2 linked regions of the Pelodiscus sinensis genome follow. The protein of the gene in region 1 interacts with the protein of each later gene in a biochemical or structural test. Links are inferred from orthologs where the notes say so. Each region holds a gene or a part of one and is shown in the gene's direction. Other genes may lie near its edges.

What was found.
Region 2: of the proteins of STAT1 (region 1) and PRKCD, one has a biochemical effect on the other in vitro, tested with the Homo sapiens proteins (2 studies listed by BioGRID). The link is inferred for Pelodiscus sinensis from reciprocal best matches to the Homo sapiens genes STAT1 and PRKCD.

The regions. Positions count from the first base shown.
Region 1 is NC_134717.1:67,122,253-67,132,346, reverse strand, and holds the start of STAT1 (signal transducer and activator of transcription 1-alpha/beta), read left to right. Parts: upstream 1-5,281; 5' UTR 5,282-5,490; intron 5,491-6,281; coding exon of another isoform or gene 6,282-6,321; intron 6,322-9,203; 5' UTR 9,204-9,204; coding exon 9,205-9,332; intron 9,333-10,094. Other genes in the region: uncharacterized protein LOC142830272, read right to left, coding at 6,282-6,321. UniProt on the Homo sapiens protein: Signal transducer and transcription activator that mediates cellular responses to interferons (IFNs), cytokine KITLG/SCF and other cytokines and other growth factors.
Region 2 is NC_134721.1:40,005,671-40,016,481, reverse strand, and holds the start of PRKCD (protein kinase C delta type), read left to right. Parts: upstream 1-6,514; 5' UTR 6,515-6,665; intron 6,666-6,689; exon of another isoform or gene 6,690-6,820; intron 6,821-10,811.

The DNA.
Region 1 (10,094 bases):
TGGGGGAAAGGGGGAGGGCTGTGGTGCAGGGGTGTCTGAGGGAGGGGTGAGGGCTGTGGGGTGAAGGGGTGAGGGCTGTGGTGCGGGGTGTCTGAGGGAGGGGGGAGGGCTGTGGGGGGCTGGGGGAGGGCTGTGGTGCGGGGTGTCTGAGGGAGGGGGGTGAGGGCTGTGGGGTGAGGGAGCTCTGGGAGGGGATGAGGGCTGTGGGGTGAAGGGGTGAGGGCTGTGGTGCAGGGGTGTCTGAGGGATGGGGGGAGGGCTGTGGGGTGAGGGGGGGAGGGCTGTGGTGCAGGGGTGTCTGAGGGAGGGGGGAGGGCTGTGGGGGGCTAGGGGAGGGGGGGAGGGCTGTGGTGCGGGTTGTCTGAGGGAGGGGTGAGGGCTGTGGGGTGAAGGGGTGAGGGCTGTGGTGCGAGGTGTCTGAGGGAGGGGGGAGGGCTGTGGGGGGCTGGGGGAGGGGGTGAGGGCTGTGGTGCAGGGGTGTCTGAGGGAGGGGTGAGGGCTGTGGTGCGGGGTGTCTGAGGGAGGGGGGAGGGCTGTGGGGGGCTGGGGGAGGGGGTGAGGGCTGTGGTGCAGGGGTGTCTGAGGGAGGGGGAGGGCTGTGGTGCGGGGTGTCTGAGGGAGGGGGGAGGGCTGTGGGGGGCTGGGGGAGGGGGTGAGGGCTGTGGTGCGGGGTGTCTGAGGGAGGGGGAGGGCTGTGGTGCGGGGTGTCTGAGGGAGAGGGGAGGGCTGTGGGGGGCTGGGGGAGGGGGTGAGGGCTGTGGTGCAGGGGTGTCTGAAGGAGGGGTGAGGGCTGTGGGGGGCTGGGGGAGGGGGTGAGGGCTGTGGTGTGGGGTGTCTGAGGGAGGGGGGAGGGCTGTGGTGCGGGGTGTCTGAGGGAGGGGGAGGGCTGTGGGGGGCTGGGGGAGGGGGTGAGGGCTGTGGTGCGGGGTGTCTGAGGGAGGGGGGAGGGCTGTGGTGCGGGGTGTCTGAGGGAGGGGGGAGGGCTGTGGGGGGCTAGGGGAGGGGGTGAGGGCTGTGGTGCGGGGTGTCTGGGGGAGGGGGGAGGGCTGTGGTGCGGGGTGTCTGGGGGAGGGGGGAGGGCTGTGGTGCGGGGTGTCTGGGAGGAGGGCTGTGGGAGGGGGGAGGGCTGTGGGGGGCTGGGGGAGGGGGGAGGGCTGTGGTTGGGACTCTGTGGTGCGGGGTGTCTGAGGGAGGGGGGAGAGCTGTGGGGGGCTGGGGGAGGGGGGAGGGCTGTGGGGTGAGGGGGGGAGGGCTGTGGTGCGGGGTGTCGGGGGGGGAGGGCTGTGGGAGGCTGGGGGAGGGCTGTGGGGTGAGGGGGGGAGGGCTGTGGTGCGGGGTGTCTGGGGGGGGAGGGCTGTGGGGTGAGGGGGGGAGGGCTGTGGTGCGGGGTGTCTGAGGGAGGGGGAGGGCTGTGGTGCGGGGTGTCTGAGGGAGAGGGGAGGGCTGTGGAGGGCTGGGGGAGGGGGTGAGGGCTGTGGTACAGGGGTGTCTGAAGGAGGGGTGAGGGCTGTGGGGGGCTGGGGGAGGGGGTGAGGGCTGTGGTGCGGGGTGTCTGAGGGAGGGGGGAGGGCTGTGGTGCGGGGTGTCTGAGGGAGAGGGGAGGGCTGTGGAGGGCTGGGGGAGGGGGTGAGGGCTGTGGTACAGGGGTGTCTGAAGGAGGGGTGAGGGCTGTGGGGGGCTGGGGGAGGGGGTGAGGGCTGTGGTGTGGGGTGTCTGAGGGAGGGGGGAGGGCTGTGGTGCGGGGTGTCTGAGGGAGGGGGAGGGCTGTGGGGGGCTGGGGGAGGGGGTGAGGGCTGTGGTGCGGGGTGTCTGAGGGAGGGGGGAGGGCTGTGGTGCGGGGTGTCTGAGGGAGGGGGGAGGGCTGTGGGGGGCTGGGGGAGGGGGTGAGGGCTGTGGTGCGGGGAGTCTGGGGGAGGGGGGAGGGCTGTGGTGCGGGGTGTCTGGGAGGAGGGCTGTGGGAGGCTGGGGGAGGGGGGAGGGCTGTGGGGTGAGGGGGGGAGGGCTGTGGGAGGCTGGGGGAGGGCTGTGGGGTGAGGGGGGGAGGGCTGTGGTGCGGGGTGTCTGGGGGGGGAGGGCTGTGGTGCGGGGTGTCGGGGGGGAGGGCTGTGGGGTGAGGGGGGGAGGGCTGTGGTGCGGGGTGTCTGGGGGAGGGGGGAGGGCTGTGGTTGGGACTCTGTGGTGCGGGGTGTCTGAGGGAGGGGGGAGAGCTGTGGGGGGCTGGGGGAGGGGGGAGGGCTGTGGGGTGAGGGGGGGAGGGCTGTGGGAGGCTGGGGGAGGGCTGTGGGGTGAGGGGGGAGGGCTGTGGTGCGGGGTGTCTGGGGGGGGAGGGCTGTGGGGTGAGGGGGGGAGGGCTGTGGTGCGGGGTGTCTGGGGGAGGGGGGAGGGCTGTGGGGTGAGGGGGGAGGGCTGTGGTGCGGGGTGTCTGGGGGAGGGGGGAGGGCTGTGGGGTGAGGGGGGAGGGCTGTGGTGCGGGGTGTCTGGGGGAGGGGGGAGGGCTGTGGGGTGAGGGGGGAGGGCTGTGGTGCGGGGTGTCTGAGGGAGGGTGAGGGCTGTGGTGCGGGGTGTCTGAGGGAGGGGGAGGGCTGTGGTGCGGGGTGTCTGAGGGAGAGGGGAGGGCTGTGGAGGGCTGGGGGAGGGGGTGAGGGCTGTGGTACAGGGGTGTCTGAAGGAGGGGTGAGGGCTGTGGGGGGCTGGGGGAGGGGGTGAGGGCTGTGGTGTGGGGTGTCTGAGGGAGGGGGGAGGGCTGTGGTGCGGGGTGTCTGAGGGAGGGGGAGGGCTGTGGGGGGCTGGGGGAGGGGGTGAGGGCTGTGGTGCGGGGTGTCTGAGGGAGGGGGGAGGGCTGTGGTGCGGGGTGTCTGAGGGAGGGGGGAGGGCTGTGGGGGGCTGGGGGAGGGGGTGAGGGCTGTGGTGCGGGGAGTCTGGGGGAGGGGGGAGGGCTGTGGTGCGGGGTGTCTGGGAGGAGGGCTGTGGGAGGGGGGAGGGCTGTGGGGGGCTGGGGGAGGGGGGAGGGCTGTGGGGTGAGGGGGGGAGGGCTGTGGGAGGCTGGGGGAGGGCTGTGGGGTGAGGGGGGGAGGGCTGTGGTGCGGGGTGTCTGGGGGGGGAGGGCTGTGGTGCGGGGTGTCGGGGGGGAGGGCTGTGGGGTGAGGGGGGAGGGCTGTGGTGCGGGGTGTCTGGGGGAGGGGGGAGGGCTGTGGTTGGGACTCTGTGGTGCGGGGTGTCTGAGGGAGGGGGGAGAGCTGTGGGGGGCTGGGGGAGGGGGGAGGGCTGTGGGGTGAGGGGTGAGGGCTGTGGTGCGGGGTGTCTGGGGGGGGAGGGCTGTGGGGTGAGGGGGGGAGGGCTGTGGTGCGGGGTGTCTGGGGGAGGGGGGAGGGCTGTGGGGTGAGGGGGGAGGGCTGTGGTGCGGGGTGTCTGGGGGAGGGGGGAGGGCTGTGGGGTGAGGGGGGGAGGGCTGTGGGAGGCTGGGGGAGGGCTGTGGGGTGAGGGGGGAGGGCTGTGGTGCGGGGTGTCTGGGGGGGGAGGGCTGTGGGGTGAGGGGGGGAGGGCTGTGGTGCGGGGTGTCTGGGGGAGGGGGGAGGGCTGTGGGGTGAGGGGGGAGGGCTGTGGTGCGGGGTGTCTGGGGGAGGGGGGAGGGCTGTGGGGTGAGGGGAGAGGGCTGTGGTGCGGGGTGTCTGGGGGAGGGGGGAGGGCTGTGGGGTGAGGGGGGAGGGCTGTGGTGCGGGGTGTCTGGGGGAGGGGGGAGGGCTGTGGGGTGAGGGGGGAGGGCTGTGGTGCGGGGTGTCTGGGGGAGGGGGGAGGGCTGTGGGGTGAGGGGGGAGGGCTGTGGTGCGGGGTGTCTGGGGGAGGGGGGAGGGCTGTGGGGTGAGGGGGGAGGGCTGTGGTGCGGGGTGTCTGGGGGAGGGGGGAGGGCTGTGGGGTGAGGGGGGAGGGCTGTGGTGCGGGGTGTCTGGGGGAGGGGGGAGGGCTGTGGGGTGAGGGGGGAGGGCTGTGGTGCGGGGTGTCTGGGGGAGGGGGAGGGCTGTGGTGCGGGGTGTCGGGGGGGAGGGCTGTGGTGCGGGGTGTCTGGGGGAGGGGGGAGGGCTGTGGGGTGAGGGGGGAGGGCTGTGGTGCGGGGTGTCTGGGGGAGGGGGGAGGGCTGTGGGGTGAGGGGGGAGGGCTGTGGTGCGGGGTGTCTGGGGGAGGGGGGAGGGCTGTGGGGTGAGGGGGGAGGGCTGTGGTGCGGGGTGTCTGGGGGAGGGGGGAGGGCTGTGGGGTGAGGGGGGAGGGCTGTGGTGCGGGGTGTCTGGGGGAGGGGGGAGGGCTGTGGGGTGAGGGGGGAGGGCTGTGGTGCGGGGTGTCTGGGGGAGGGGGGAGGGCTGTGGGGTCAGGGGGCTGGGGGAGGGGGGGAGGGCTGTGGGGGGCTGGGGGAAGGGGGGAGGGCTGTGGGGTCAGGGGGCTGGGGGAGGGGGGGAGGGCTGTGGTGCGGGGTGTCTGGGGGAGGGGGGAGGGCTGTGGTGCGGGGTGTCTGGGGGAGGGGGGAGGGCTGTGGGGTCAGGGGGCTGGGGGAGGGGGGGAGGGCTGTGGGGTCAGGGGGCTGGGGGAGGGGGGGAGGGCTGTGGGGGGCTGGGGGAAGGGGGGAGGGCTGTGGGGTCAGGGGGCTGGGGGAGGGGGGGAGGGCTGTGGTGCGGGGTGTCTGAGGGAGGGGGGAGGGCTGTGGGGGGCTGGGGGAAGGGGGGAGGGCTGTGGGGTCAGGGGGCTGGGGGAGGGGGGGAGGGCTGTGGTGCGGGGTGTCTGAGGGAGGGGGGAGGGCTGTGGGGGGCTGGGGGAAGGGGGGAGGGCTGTGGGGTCAGGGGGCTGGGGGAGGGGGGGAGGGCTGTGGTGCGGGGTGTCTGAGGGAGGGGGGAGGGCTGTGGGGGGCTGGGGGAAGGGGGGAGGGCTGTGGGGTCAGGGGGCTGGGGGAGGGGGGGAGGGCTGTGGTGCGGGGTGTCTGAGGGAGGGGGGAGGGCTGTGGGGGGCTGGGGGAAGGGGGGAGGGCTGTGGGGTCAGGGGGCTGGGGGAGGGGGGGAGGGCTGTGGTGCGGGGTGTCTGAGGGAGGGGGGAGGGCTGTGGGGGGCTGGGGGAAGGGGGGAGGGCTGTGGGGTCAGGGGGCTGGGGGAGGGGGGGAGGGCTGTGGTGCGGGGTGTCTGAGGGGAGAGGGCTGTGGTGCGGGGTGTCTGAGGGGGGGAGGGCTGTGGGGGGCTGGGGGAGGGGGGAGGGCTGTGGTTGGGACTCTGTGGGGGGGGCTCTGGGAGGCAGCGCAGAGCAGCGGGAGGGTAGCGCGCTTTCAGGAACAGCCGGTGCCGCAGCGCGGATTGGCTGTGGCTGCGGCAGGCCCGCCCCGCGGCTCGGGATTGGCCCGGGGGCTGGCCGCGCAACGGGCGTTCTGTTGCCGTGTCCTCGCTCGCTTTCGGTTTGCCGGCGGCGGCGCAGCAGCGAAGCGGTGACGGCGGCCCGGAGCCTCCTCTCGCCAGTCGGGTGAGTGACCCGGCGCCGCGTCCCCGCCCTGCTGGGGCCCTGAGCGCCGGGCAGCGCTGCCCCGGGCCCTTCCTTCCGCCGGGGCCCGCCTCCCGCACAGCCACGGGCCACGCGGTAGCGGTGAGGCGGCGTGAGCCCCAGCGAGCGGGGCAGCAGCAGCTGAGTGAAGCCGGATGAGCCCCCCTTCCCCCCACCTCTGAGCTCGCCGGTCCCAGCGGGACACACTCCCGCTGGGAAGTTGACGCATCAGCTGGAAATGTTGTTCCCTTGTTGCCATTGACACGCTTCTAATTCCCCACAGACACCCCACGAATAGGCAGGCTCTGGCCAAGTCCTGGTGATGGCTGCTGGCTGCTGCGCTCCTGTAACTACAGCCTCGCTGCACTGGCTTCGCAAAGATTCCACGTGGCTGGATTCACAGTCACCGAGCCAGTGGTCCTAAGACCCAAACCCCTCCTCCAGTCAGTGGAAAAACCCTGATCCTAGGACATAGAAATGCAGAGTCACCCCCTTGCCCAGCCAGGTGTTGGGAGCAGGAGCCACACAAGAGCTGACCTGTATGGCATCCTTGCCTACCCCAGTGAGTGCTGATGTCTTAGCTCGTGTTTCTAAAAATAGGTAGGGAGATTTTAGACATGGAAAGTGACGTGTAAATGGCATCACAGATCCTACAGGAACTATGCTGACTGCCTCAGAGGGAAGCACAGAACAACCCCCCCCAAAAAGACACTGCTTTATAGGACTTGACCTTCCCACCTCTTTAATTGAATTCCCTAGATATATAGGATTACGAAACTGCAGCACCTGATTCCTCTGAGACTCAAGGTTCATTCCTATTGTAACTCTTTCCTAAATAAATACACACAGAGAGGTACAAGTTGGTCACGGTATTTTAGGACAGAATGATGAAGGAACATAGGATTAAGAAGGCAGCATGAAAAATGTAATGGAAAGATGTAAGATACGTGCACATCTTTTCAAAGTGAACGTGCAGAGTTAAGGCATGTCTGCACTAAGGATGTTAAATTGCGTTTAATGAGCTAATCAAGTAGACGATGGCTTTTAAGCCTGCTCTCCTCAGCTCCTGCTCCCTTCTTCCCCGCTGCCTCTGATAGAAGTAACAAGGGGGGGAGAAGCAACTAGTAAACTAGTGACTCAACTACCCGAGAAGCCCAGGCTTATCAGGTAGTCAACTATTCGACTAGTCGCTTACATCTCGGCTTTGTCTACACTGCCTGCAAAGCCTATGCAAATGAAGCGTGGATTAGCATTTTGCCATGCTTCGTTTGCATCATTTATTCAAGCCATTTTTACACAAGGTTTTTGCTTAAAAACAAGCAGTGTGGACTCTTCTTTTGCGCAAAACCCGTTTTGCACAAGGTCCTTATGTGAGGCATTCTTACCTACCCCAGTGGGTGCAAGGCATAAGGATATTGTGCAAAATGGGGGTTTTGCACAAAAAAATTCCATCCACACTTATTGTTTTTGCGCAAAAACCTCTTGTGCAAAACCAGTTTGAATACATTATGCAAATGAAGTGTGGCAAAATGCTAATCTGTGCTTCATTTGCATAGGCACTGCCCACAAAGCCGGCAATGTAGACGTAGCCCACTAGGGAATTATTTCGAAATAGCTCTCCGTATTTTTAAATAAAAAGACGAGCATCCACGTTACCAAGCCCCTTATTTCAAAATAAGTGGAAGTTATTATTTTGAAATAATAACTTCCACTTGTGAAGTGGAATAGTGCTGTTTTGAAATAGTTATTTCAGGAGTTATTTCAAAATAACTTCCCAGTGTAGATGTGCCCTTAGAGAAATCACTTTCAGAGGGACTTAGGAAACTAATAAGTAACTTTAAAATCCAAGTCAGACGGGACCATTGTAATCATCTGATCTTGCAGTATAAACTTCAGAGTTTTGCTAAGTAATTCTTGCCATGACCTCCATAATTTCTGGTTGAAGTACAGCAGTGTCTTTCCTGTGTTTTTTTTTTCCCAGTACATATTAAAACACAGAATTAATTTAGGCTGGTCAGGGTGCTTTTACTGTTATTACACAAAGCATGTTAAACAAACATCTGTCAGGGAAAACTTAAATATTTAGTCCTGCTGTGCAGGCTAGATTAGAAGACCTCTCAAAGTCTCTTTCAGTTCTGTGATTCTATTAAGAATCACTGAGCTAGAGCAGTGTTTCTTAACCATTTTTATAAAGTACCCCTTTAAAAAAAAAAAAAAAAAAAAAAAATCCCCAGTACCTAGTTTTCAGACATACAAATTTTTTTTCTACCATTGGAACACATTTATTTAAACGAGTTAATCGTAGCCAAGAGGGCGATTACATTTTTGGGTGTAAAAAGTACAAAAATAATAAAGTGCTGTAAAACTTAAAACAAAAATTCAGTTTTCTTCAAATTTTAGTTGTGTTGACGTATCCCCCAGACTTCTCTTTGAAAGACTAAATTATGGATCCGCTACATCTGTAGGTAACGTCTTCTAGTGATTAACTGTTCTCAATGCTAAAAATTTGCTCAGTTTGCTCTCAATGTTAAAAACCTTATTTCTAGCCTGAATTTGTCTTGCTTCAGCTTCCTGACCCAGTTATGTCTTTGCTAAATTGAAGAGCCTTCTAATATGAGAAATCTCTCCCCCACATAGATATAGGTTGGACCTCCCTGGTCCAGCATACTCGGGACTTGCATGGTCCCAGGCAAGGGAGTTTGCCTGACCAGGGGCACTCAGGCTAGCTGCTTACTGTGCTGCAATGTGCTGCCAGTTCCCAGATGGGCTGCGCTATGCTGCCAACGCCCAGCGGGGCTGTGAATTCTGGACCAGAGAAGTTCAACCTGTACTTACAGAGGTGATCTTGGATAAGATAAACAGATTGAGCTTCTTTAGTTTCTGACAGACACAGGCTTTCCAGATCTCAGATCATTCTTACAGCTCTTTCTGAACCTTTTTCAATTTAACTTTTTAAAAATTCTGGACATAGAAACTGGACACAGTTCTGCAATAGTTTCACTGATTTCCTGGGCAGAGGCAGTACCACTTACGTACTGCTTTTCAAGATGCCCCTTGTACATCACAGGGTCACATTTGCTGCAATGCATTGCCCTGCAAGGTCATATTTGGTTAGTTATCTACCAAGACACCTCAGTCCTTTTCAGATTTGGACATTTCTGAAAATGGACATATGTGCCTTTGAAAATATTAGCCAGCATCTGAGCAATCCAAATGCAATTTAAAATAATCTCCCCCTACTGTCTGCTCTCCAACAGTGTAGGTCTTCACTTTCTGTTTCTTTATTTTAGGACTTGTCTTCATGGCCAAGGTAGGCTACTATTCAATTTAGCAAAACTCATTAGGGCTGCTAACACACATTCTACTTTGCATCAAGCCCTTAATCAGAGATGACTGGGAAAGGATGGTTATTCCCATTGTTAGTTACATTGCCAATTTTCTTGACATTTTTGGGAATTTCAGGAAACTTGAGAACCAAACATTTCTCTCTTTTTTGACAAAAACCTGAAGATTTTCTATGCAAATAGTTCCCTCTCCCCAAAATTTAGTTTTTTTAAATAATCATTTTCTATCAAAAGTGATTAGATGGGAAATTTTCAGCTTACTTCTTAAATATCTTATGTTGGGATTTAGGTGTGACTAAGATTTAGATGTGACTAAGATTTTATTAAATTCTATGCATCTTGATTCCACAGAATGACTCAGTGGTACCAGTTGCAGCAGCTTGATTCCAAATTCTTGGAACAAGTACATCAGCTGTATGATGACAGCTTTCCTATGGAAATCAGACAGTATCTGGCACAATGGCTGGAAAATCAAGACTGGTGAGAGCGAAGTGCTGTAATGTATATTGGAGTTTGTTGTTGCATTATTTAGCCAGTGATGCCTGTGAAAGATATGATACTAGCTTCTGACCTTGTGTGAAGGTAGATGGCTTTCACTGACAAAACACCATGCGTGCTTATCTAAGAACCTCTGCTGTATGATGAAAACAAGCATCCACTTAGGGCAGCAAACTGTTCAGTAAGTTTTTGTGAGGGTGACAACTGGGAGGTAGGAACAGAGGAGCCTATGTGCTGCTAGTCACTGTTTCCCATTGCACTTACCAGTCTGGGTGATGCTTACTGGTTAATGGTTAACTGGTGCCTTATGCTGCTGGCAGCTGGGGCTGGTGTGGCTGGAGCTGGAAGCGCGCAGAGCCAGCTCCAGCCCCAATTTGAGTTGTGAGATCCCTCTGGTCAGTAACCAAGTTAAAAGGTTAACCTTTTGTTTAACTGGTTAATTAATGAACCAGGATTTTACATCCCTAATAAGAATCCTGCAACACCAGTACCTATGGCTGTACACAACTGTTTCCCTGTTTCCTTTGTCCACCAGGGAAAGATTTATGGTTATTTATAAAAGGATTTAGGGGTCAGCTTTTCAGTTTCATCTCCACTAGCAAACTGAAGTATTGCTAAAATCTCTAGAAAATATTTTTATAGCGCTTCATTAGCGTGCAGACGAATAGATCTCACTTCCAGATTCTCAGTATGAGGTCCTCAGTGGTGATTAATGGTAGATACATATGCAAACACACAAATGTT
Region 2 (10,811 bases), on another chromosome or scaffold:
GGTGTGTCTATGTAAATACAGTTTCCCCCTGCTTTGCTTAGATGTGTTAGATATTCAGCAAATGGAGTAGTAATTTGCTCATTGCAATCAACTTAATTTGTGACCCAACACCAGCTAGGTTTGTATTAAATGCAGGGATTGCAGAAATATTGATACCAATGTTTGTAATTTTGTGGGAACACAGAAAAGTAGGACTGTGCTACGTTGTGCCAAATGAAAGGGCTCACAGTTAGCAGAAAGAATCTTGCAAGAATCAAGCAGGGGCTTGACTTTCCAGAGCTCTATGGACATACGGGAAGGCTATTCTGGTCTGAAGGCTATTTGGCTTCCCCTGCTTAGACTAGTTTGATCTTTTCCCCTTCCCAATTGTTCATAGAACAAAGTTAAACAGGCATCAGTAGGTGCCTCTCTCCTTATGTTAATTGTGTTGCATTTGTGTTTTTTCCTACTCCGCCTGCTAAGAGTTGAAATCAGTGGGAGCTGAAATCAGTTGAGCGCCAAAAAGTGGAGTGGCTGTTTGGATGGACTTCTGAACTCTGGGTCTGCCCTGACCAAGGCAGAGAGGACTGCAGAGAGTAGGGCATGTAAAAGGGACATTCAGGTTGCTGGAATTAAAAACCTGAGAGAAAAAGGACACTGCCCAGTCTAGCTGGGGTGGGACTTGTATTCATGGTTTTGGTTATGAGCTCTGTTTGTGGTGCTTTTTCCAAATGAATGTCAAGTCACTTCTTTCCCTTTTCTGTGTGCGCGAGTGGGGAAGCATTGCCTCTCAGAGGCATCCGGGGTGGTGGGAGAATTTCCAGGTTACTGGGTGAGGACTCGAGCCAGTTCTGAGTTGGATGGATGGATGGATGAGGAACCCCTAGATATTTAACCTGGTCCTTTCTGCTGCTGACTCCAACTGGCAGAAGGGTTACAAAAGACAGAAACAACTGTCACAGGTGCGGAGAATGAAATGCTGACTAATACAAAGAAAAACACCTTCATAAGTCAATATCAAAATTAAAACGATTAAAAAAATCATATTGCCATGGAAAGATCCCCTAAAGCCGAGTTCAGCATCCTTCAGTCTCTCAAAGGGATAAGGCAGGCAGACTTTATTAAATAAATTAATCTTGCCCATTATGTATCTAACTCTCATTACTAACCAAAAAACATGCTTCTGGAGGTAAAAAATATGAGAAACTGAAGGAAAAGTTTGTGTGCCGTAAGAGGCGGCTCCCAGGGAAGACACCAACATTCTAAAGCCAGCTGTTAAAACCATAATCAACATTCTGAACATTTCCAAAATAGAAAGACAAGATAGAAACCAATTAGTGCAGGCAGAATTCAGCCTCTCTACCTTTGCTGTTCTCATTAATGGAAATCCCCATAATTTTTATATTAGATTGTAGCAGGCTCCTCCCTCTATCACTCTCTTCCCCTGTCTCTGTGAGCAAAAGGGAAGTGAGACTAAGTGTTGCTTAGACTTGGGAAACAGATCAACAGACACTCAACCTCCAGCTGCAACATGGCTTGGTGAATAAAAGTATAATTGTAACTGCTGTTTATTTCTTTGTTGTGAATTGATGCTTGTCTATGTATCATCGTGTATCAGTAAAACACCTTTCCTTAATTTGACTTCCTGCCTTGTTCCCGTGAAACAGGTACAGCATTAGTACAACTCATGGAAGTTAATCACACAACCCCTTGGGAAAGTGCTAGGTATTGATACTCTTTTTTTATTCGGTTTCTCAACTGTGAATCTTTTGCTGTCAACTTCACTGTAGCTAAATTAATTGCTCACTTCTTTTCATCTACTTGTAAAATGGCTTGTAGTCATACCGCTTTCTACTGTGACCCTGTCAGATTTCACACACGAAGCAGCCTCAGGCAAGGTATTTTAGATGTGAGATCTCTAAAGAAAACCCAAATATTTTCAGTATTAAATCAATACCTCAGCAGGGTGGGGAGGGGCATTGTGCTACCTATGGTGCAGTCTGACAGAAGCAATATAAAAGCACAATTGTCACCACTTAAGGTGGGAAAGTCCCACAATATACTTCACAAGAGCAAAACTATTTAGCCCCAGTGTCTTGACCAAATTTCTGCTTGTATGTTTCCATTTTACCTTGCTGATTTCCCCCTGTATTCTCAGTTATATACAGCGTGCTTGACTGCTGACTCACTGTTCAATAGCTACTGGCTTTCACACCATAGCTGAATAGCCATCTGTGGTTAGCAAAATGATGTGCTTAGGTATCTATCCAGATGAGACACTATCTACTCTGTCCTCTCCATGTTCTCCTCCTACCACTTTCATCACTCCTCCAACATGTGCTTTGGAGGATCCTCCTCTTCTGCCTTTCAGGTTTTGGTGGGAGTTCCTCAGGACTCTGTTCTTGGTCTCCTTTCTAACCTGACTTGTGGGTAATCTCATAACCACAAATTCAACAATTTATGGGTCTATGTTTCCTCCAGGCCCATCTCCTGTCTGAATTAAAATTTTGGCCTGTCTCTCTGTTATCACTTTGTAGACATATTACCGTCGCCCCAAATCAACATGGCTAAAACACAGATTTTGTTCTGTCCCCAAACGTGTCCTGTTACCTCCTTTCTCAGTGACAGTAGGCAACATCACCTGTCTCTCAGTTCCATAACCTCAACATCCACTTCCACTCACACCTCTTTCGGACCCCACATCCAGGTTATGTCTAAATCTTTCTGGTTCTTTCTACGTCACATTTCTAAAACAGAGTGTTTCCCTCCCACCCGTCCATCCATCCAGCCAGCCAGCCTCTCATCCTTTTGCATCTTCATTACTTTAAAATCCTTTTCACTAGCTTTGGCAAGTGCAGTCTTGCTCTACTCACATTCACTCAGAGTGCTGTTGCAAAGATGACTTTCCTACATAAACAGGGCAGCCAGATTCCTCTGGTTTCCATCCACATAGGTTTTTTTTCCTATGGGTGTATTACTAAAGTGACACACAGGTAAAGAAAGGGTACATGCAGTAAGGTGCATACTGATTGCACATAACACTCCCTCTGCATCCAATCACAGCGCTGCTACTGTTCAAACAATATCTCCTGCAAATTCTAGGTATGCTGGCACAGTTTGCAAATTTACTCTAGGCCAGCAGATGACAATGGTGATGACAATCTTGCGGCCCATTGAGATGGAGGGTGGCCCACTCACTAGCCTAGGTTGCCCATCACTGACAATGGGATCCTGATTCACCAGTCGGGCTGCTCATGTTTCAAGCGAGAGAAGCAAACCAAAGTCATTAGGAAAAGGCAGCTGAAAACAAAACTAGAGTTTTAGAAACATTGGTGATTGGACTGGAAGGAATATCAAGTTGCTAAGGCCAAGACTCTGCTTTATCAAGCAGGAAAGAGTCTACACTGAACTCTCTATGAACCAAATGTAGGCAAACTTCCCATTGACTTTAGAGAGCTCTGACTGAGTAAAGACATGAAGATTTATATTCACAGGGACATGAAAATCTCTTCTCTTATAACCCTTGTGAAAATCTTATAGTCCAAAGCTTAAGAAGCTGTTTGTTTTAGAGAGACTTATTTTAAAGTCATGGACACTAACAGAGATAGCAATCAAGTTTTTGTGCCACCATATAACAAAATGGATTCTCCTTGTATATTTTATACTGTTTTAAACACCAAATTAATAAGAAATTATATGACATCCATTATAAAATGTTACCCATTTAGATTAAGCTCTTTGGAAGTTCTGACATCAGGAAAGCCTCATTTGGACAGATTTGAATCATGGCTCCTGAATTTATTTTCACTTTCACTTTCCATTTAATCCTTACAATTTTACTTTACAGAAAATATATCTATAAATTGCTATCATATATTCTTTATAAATTGCGTTGGAATTCTATGCGGTACTGTAACCCACACACCTAGCGTGGTTCACTGTCCCATGTAGTGGCACTTAGATCACTTACAACTAGAGATAAGAACAAGGGAATTCTATAGCCTACGCTAAGAATCCTCTGTTAGAAATGTTTCTCTCTTCCATACCAAGGATGAGACTTGTATTTCTCTGTTATCAATTGTTCTGGGCATACGTTTTATGTTTTTTTTTAACAATTATAAATAAAGGTCTAATATTATCATTGGAAATGCTGCTTTCCAGTAAAGGAAGATCAACCCCAGACTGATTCATCATCTTCATAGCCTATATTTTAAAACTGGATAAAGGGAGGGACATTGGGTAACTCCATCCAGGGGCCTAAATCCAGGCCCTCAGGAGGGCATTGTAAGACCAGGCAGGAAGACACAGCTTCTGTCCTGAGTTAACACAACTCCCTGATCCTGCAGACATTTGATGCACATGCTTAGCATCATGCACATGAATAGTCCCAATGACTGCTCCCATGCATAAAGTTAGACATGTGGAAAGTGTTTACTGCTGAGTTTTTACCATCCTTTTATAACACAACTTACATGTTAAAAGCCATTAAAAAAACCTATTTTTCCCCTTTAAAAAAACTCTGTAAACATTAGACAAGCTTTCCCAGAGGATTAAGAACATATCCCAAGCTTTAGCACAACAAAAACTTTTGCACAGATGGAAGGAATTCAAATGTACATCACCAGTGGTTGAACATCATAAGCCACCTAAAATTATTTTGGAGTCTTCTGTCCAATTTCTGGTGGATAAGTGCCCCAAACAAGAAAAACAGTGAGGTGGGGCCTTGCTGCCAAAACCCCATAATGGAGCCAGAGTTATTAAATAACTAGAGCGAACATTAAAACCACCTGTCCAGATAAAGTAAGCTCCCAAAGAGTTGCTGCATACACTAAGACTGGATGAGTTTGCTTGTCCCATACTGGAGCCTTTGCCTTTGATGCCGACCTGGAATTGAACTCCTGGATCCAGCCACCTGGTCACAGAAGAAGGCAAACATGAGGTAGGCGAGTAAAAGAGAAGGGGAAGGCAACAGTGGAGAGGAAGGGGAGGAGGGAAGGCAAAGGAAGAGAGACGAGCAAAAGAGGGAGAAGGAGCATGGGGGAAGGAGTAGGGAGGAGGAGAGAAGGGAGGACAGAGCAGCAGAAGGGGTAGGCGCTGGGAGGGAGAGAAGAGGCAGGACAGGGGAGGCAGAGAGGTGCAGGAGAGAAGGGGAAGGATGGAGAAGGAGGGTAGGGGGAGGGAAGCAAGGGGCAGGACGGAGGGAGACGGCAGGCGGGAGGGAGGGAGAGAAGGGGCAGGACAGAGGAGGGGAGCAGGGGGGGGAGGGAGAGAAGGGGCAGGATGGGGAGGGAGGGAGCAGGCGGGGGAGGGAGGGAGAGAAGGGGCAGGACGGAGGAGGGGAGCAGGGGGAGGGAGGTGGCAGGCGGAGGAGGGAGGGAGAGAAGGGGCAGGACGGAGGAGGGGAGCAGGGGGAGGGAGGCGGCAGGCGGAGGAGGGAGGGAGAGAAGGGGCAGGATGGGGAGGGAGGGAGAGAAGGGGCAGGACGGAGGAGGGGAGCAGGGGGAGGGAGGGGGGGAGGGAGGGGGAGAAGGGGCAGGACGGAGGAGGGGAGCAGGGGGAGGGAGGCGGCAGGCGGAGGAGGGAGGGAGAGAAGGGGCAGGACGGAGGAGGGGAGCAGGGGGAGGGAGGGAGGGAGGGAGGGGGAGAAGGGGCAGGACGGAGGAGGGGAGCAGGGGGAGGGAGGCGGCAGGCGGAGGAGGGAGGGAGAGAAGGGGCAGGACGGAGGAGGGGAGCGGAGGGGGGGGGAGGGAGGGGGAGCAGGGGCGGGACGGAGGAGGCGAGCAGGGGGAGGGAGGGGGAGAAGGGGCGGGACGGAGGAGGGGAGCAGGGGGAGGGAGGCGGCAGGCGGAGGAGGGAGGGAGAGAAGGGGCAGGACGGAGGAGGGGAGCAGAGGGAGGAGGGGAGGGAAGGGGAGCAGGGGCGGGACGGAGGAGGCGAGCAGGGGGAGGGAGGGGGAGCAGGGGCGGGACGGAGGAGGCGAGCAGGGGGAGGGAGGGGGAGAAGGGGCGGGACGGAGGAGGCGAGCAGGGGGAGGGAGGGGGAGAAGGGGCAGGACGGAGGAGGGGAGCAGGGGGAGGGAGGGGGAGCAGGGGCAGGATGGAGGGAGGCGGCAGGCGGGGGAGGGAGGGAGAGAAGGGGCAGGACGGAGGGAGGCGGCAGGCGGGGGGGAGGGAGGCGGCAGGCGGGGGGGGAGGGAGAGAAGGGGCACGACGGAGGGAGGCGGCAGGCGGGGGGGAGGGAGGCGGCAGGCGGGGGGGGAGGGAGAGAAGGGGCAGGACGGAGGGAGGCGGCAGGCGGGGGGGGGGAGGGAGAGAAGGGGCAGGACGGAGGGAGGCGGCAGGCGGGGGGGGGAGGGAGAGAAGGGGCAGGACGGAGGGAGGCGGCAGGCGGGGGGGGGGGGAGGGAGAGAAGGGGCAGGACGGAGGAGGGGAGCGGGGGGAGGGAGGCGGCAGGCGGGGGAGGGAGGGAGGAGAGAAGGGGCAGGACGGAGGAGGCGGCAGGCGGGGGGGGGAGGGAGAGAAGGGGCAGGACGGAGGGAGGCGGCAGGACGGAGGAGGGGGAGGGAGGCGGCAGGGCAGGACGGAGGGAGGAGAGAAGGGAGGCGACCCGGGCGAAGGAGCGAGCGGCCCGCAGGGCGGCTCTGTCCCGCGCTCTGCCGGCACAGGGGCTCCGGAGCCGGCGGGCAGGTGAGCGCCAGGCGGGGCGCAGGGCTCGGTGGCTGCCGGGGGCGGAGCGCGGGGCGGGGCGGGCAGGCGGGCCGGGCTGGGACTCGCTCGGGGAGCGCTCGGCCTGGGAGCTGCGGCAGCTCCGCGCCGTGTGCGGGGCTCGGCGCCCGGGAGAGGTGAGTGGCGGCTCCGCGGGGGGCGCGCCGGGCGGGTACCTGCGGCGGCCGGGCTGGGGATCCCCGCGACGCGCCCAGTTCCTGCCCCGCCCGCCGGCCGAAGGAGGAAGCGGCACCGGCGCTGCCGCCCCCGCCCGGCGCTGGAGTCCCGGGGCGAGCTGGGGGCCCCTGGCCGGGGTGCGCTGCGCTCGGGCTGCCTGCGCCTGGGCGCCCTCTCCAGCGGCCGCTTCACTCCCCCTGCCAGGGCGGCGGGGTGTCTGGGCTGGGCGCCGGCGTGTGAGCCGCGAGGGGAGCCCTGCCTGTCCCGCGAGCCGAGCCCGCCCCCTGGGGTGAGCCGAGGTTGCCTCTGGCATCCTTTGCCGGAGAGAGGGCTCCCCTCGGCTTCCTTGTTCTGCCCGCCTCCATATTTTGCGCCGTGACTCTGGGCAGGGGGAGGCTCCGCGACCCGAGGAGCGAGACCCGCGAGTTTTCTTGATTTCTGCCAAGTTGGCTCGGCACTTTCGTTTGCTGATTGCGGAGCCTCTTTTTCTGCCTGGCTGAACTTGCCTCTGACCCTGTTGTCTGGAGCCTTCGCTGGGGACGTGCTGAACTTTTGAGTGGGAAAGTTTGTAAATCAGCAAGCGATATTTATGAAATCGTTGACAGAATAGTTATGGGTCAGGTCAGTAAACATTGAAACAGGAAAAACTTAAACAAGTGTGTAGACGCCTATGTCAGGAAGGATGCTATCAATTGACTTTGATTCTTATCTGCTTCGTTTTAACTACCCAATCTTCAGATACTTATTCCCTCTAGCTCCTTGTCTCTCCTCCCCTCTGTCCCCCCCCCCCCCCCCACCTCCTCCTTTCCTATTTATTTTGGGTCTGAACATCCTAAACTCAAACCTCCGGTCATCTGAATAAATGGGCTGTGCCCACAAAAGCTCATGATGCCATCTACATGTTTTGTCAGTCTATAAAGTGCTACCAGACAAAGATAGCTTCCCCAATTATCACCCCCTAATATCGTTATCTCATAGACACTGACCTCCCCCCCTCACCTCACCTCTGTTCTAAAATCCGATTTGTCAGTTTTATATGTGTTCACTTTTTTGATTGTATCCCTTTGGTATATATGGTTGTGCCAATTTTCTTCCACATTTTGATCTGAGGAAGTGGGTCTGGCCCACGAAAGCTCATCACTTAATAAACCATCTTGTTAGTCTTTAAAGTGCCGCATAGTCTTTTTTTTTTTTTTTTTTTTTTTTGATTCATCAAGACCAGACTAACACGGCTACATCTCTCTTACTACCAGACCATTTGTTATTGAAATGTGTCATTATTGTTGCTGAAGTATAGTCAGCATGACAGTTGATGCCAATCAAATGGTCCTTGGAACAAATGATGACCGTAAGTCATGCAGCTTTTAGTTCCTTAGGGACTTTCAGTGATGTTTTTGTTTCAGGTACCAGGCACTAAGAGGTAAGGAGGCTGACTCTCCTCCCTGGTAGTAGTTGTATCCCTGTGTGTATGATGCCTCATTTCCTGAATGAGACTTTTTCTTCTTGTTGTGGACTTTGTCCTTAGCATATCTTGCAGTTTCACTGTAATAATAGTGCTCATTACCTCCAGGAAGTATAGGTAACCTGGACAGGGAAACTTTGCGTTCAGGGAGGAGTCATAATTTACTTTATTCAGTAGCATTCCTCAAGTTGTATGAGCTCATCTATTTATCCATAGGTCAGCTACAAGTTTGATTATAAAATAGTCTTAGTTTCTGTTGATTATGAGACACTCACACCTTCACCCACCCATAAGCAAATGGGAGCAAAGCAGAGTTTTTAATGAGCTAAGCAAATTGTAACTGTATGACATACAAGGTAATTCTTCTTGTCTTCAGACCTTATTCAAATATCTGGCACATGTGTAACCCACTGTGTGTGTGTGCATGCATGCGTTGGTTGGTTGGTTTCACAGGTCCCTTTGTTTTGATCCATGGAGAATATGAGTTATTACAGTGTCTGACTGTAGTGCCTTGGCCCTTTCATTCAAACTCATGGTGTGAGCTTTTGAGGTCGTTGGTTCAAATCCTTTCACATCAGCCAAGAGGATATGGTCACACTTGCACGTAAATCTTCAGTAGGGTACAGTTAATCTTTTCAGCCCAGAAACACATATAATCAGTTTTTGTTTCTCAAGAAACACTATTGGATATGCAGCACATTCGAATTGGAAGTGTAAGTGCTCAGCATGTCCAGCTATAAAATTCCTCACCATGTGATCAAAAATGGATCTTTTAAAAGCAGTTAGAAAACAGAGTAAACTTTAAGGAATGTACCTGTTTGATCTCCCCTTTTGATATACATGCTATATGTGTACACACATAATCACTACTATATGTGTGAGTTCAGGAAATGTCAGGATTCCCCAATGAGAATACTATATTGGAGTTTGAGCCATTACCATTCTTGAAATATAGCATTTTGTATTCATAGCTGAATTTACAGGTTGTGAAGCGTCTCTCCTAAATTACCTAGCTAGCCCAAAGAAAGTAATATTGGTTTGCACCTAGGAACTTCAAGGCCCCAAACTTCATCTAGTCTAATATACTCTCAGTTGATAGTGGGCAGTACCTGGGGAAATTATAAGAATCCCACTGAAGACAGAGGGGAGATTATCTGCAACCCATGTTGTCTCACTTTGTTAATCTCAAATAACTAAGAGTTTGGTTTAATCTGAAACATGAGGTTTAAAGTAGGGATGTAATAGTGTAGTCCGGTGTTTCCCAATTTTATTTGGCCACGGAACCCTCTTTTAAAAGAAACGGCCAGGAAAAACTGGTTGACCAAAAAAAAGGGGGTGGGGCGACTGTCAAGCAAAAAAAGAACCAAAACACCGGCTTTCCCCTAACACCACTGTGCCTGGCGGCCCCTTGAAAGTGGCAGACCCGGGAGACCGCCTGGCTCGCCCACTCCTAAGACTCTCTCGGTGGGGTGGGGGGCAGGAGGGAGGAAGTGATCGGGTTCTCACGGAACCCTTACTTTCACTTTGTGGAACCACAGGGTTCTGCAGAGCACTATTTGGGAAACACTGGTGTAGTCAATTAACAAATAAGCAAAAGTGTATAAATTAATGCTATAGAATACACGCATTCTGCCTCCTCCCCCATCACTACATTTTTTCGCAGGCTGGCTCATTTCTTCCATGCACCAGGTCCAGGATCTACCCCTGCTGCGGCTCTACATTTAAAGTGCATTAACAGCCAGACGGGCAGGTAACCCAGCTCAGTTCTGGCTCGCGCCAGGTCCAGGAGCTCAGTGCCTCCCATGGACAGGGGCTGCTACCACCCCACTCTGCTGCTTCTGAGGCAGCAGCACAAGGCGACATGCAACTAGTCTGCGAGGGAAGCTGTTTTTTAAACCGGCTCCTTTCGCAGAGCAGCTCCCACCTGACACCCTGCGCTGCTGCCTCTGCCTCGGGAGTGGGGCACAGCTGGCTGCTGGCTCTAAGCCTGGTGACTATAGAATAGTCGAGAAACCAATACGAATTGATGAGGTTACTCAACTATTCAATTAACCGATATTTAACATCCCTGTCTCTAACGAAACACTGTTAACATTTAATTTTCATAACTCTGGATATTCTAGTTATTCAGATAAATGTTCAATTTGTTTTGAAATTTAGTAGATTCTTGGCCCCCTGTGCACATTTAGGGCATGTCTACACTGCAGCCAGGGGTGAGATTTCCAGTTTGTGGGCATGCACATGCTTGCTTTAGTCTAGCTAACCTGCTAAGATAGCAGTGCAGGCATGGGCCTTTCAAGTCTGCACAATCTCCCCGCAGCTACGTATTCAGGTTGCTAGTCCTCACTGAAGGCTGCGCTGCTGCATCTTCGCTGCTATTTTAGTGAGTTGACTAGATTAAAGCTACTGTGGATATGCCTTCATGACAATTAATGCAAATCACACCTCCATTTGCAAGGAAGGCATAACCCAACTGCTTCTCTCACTCT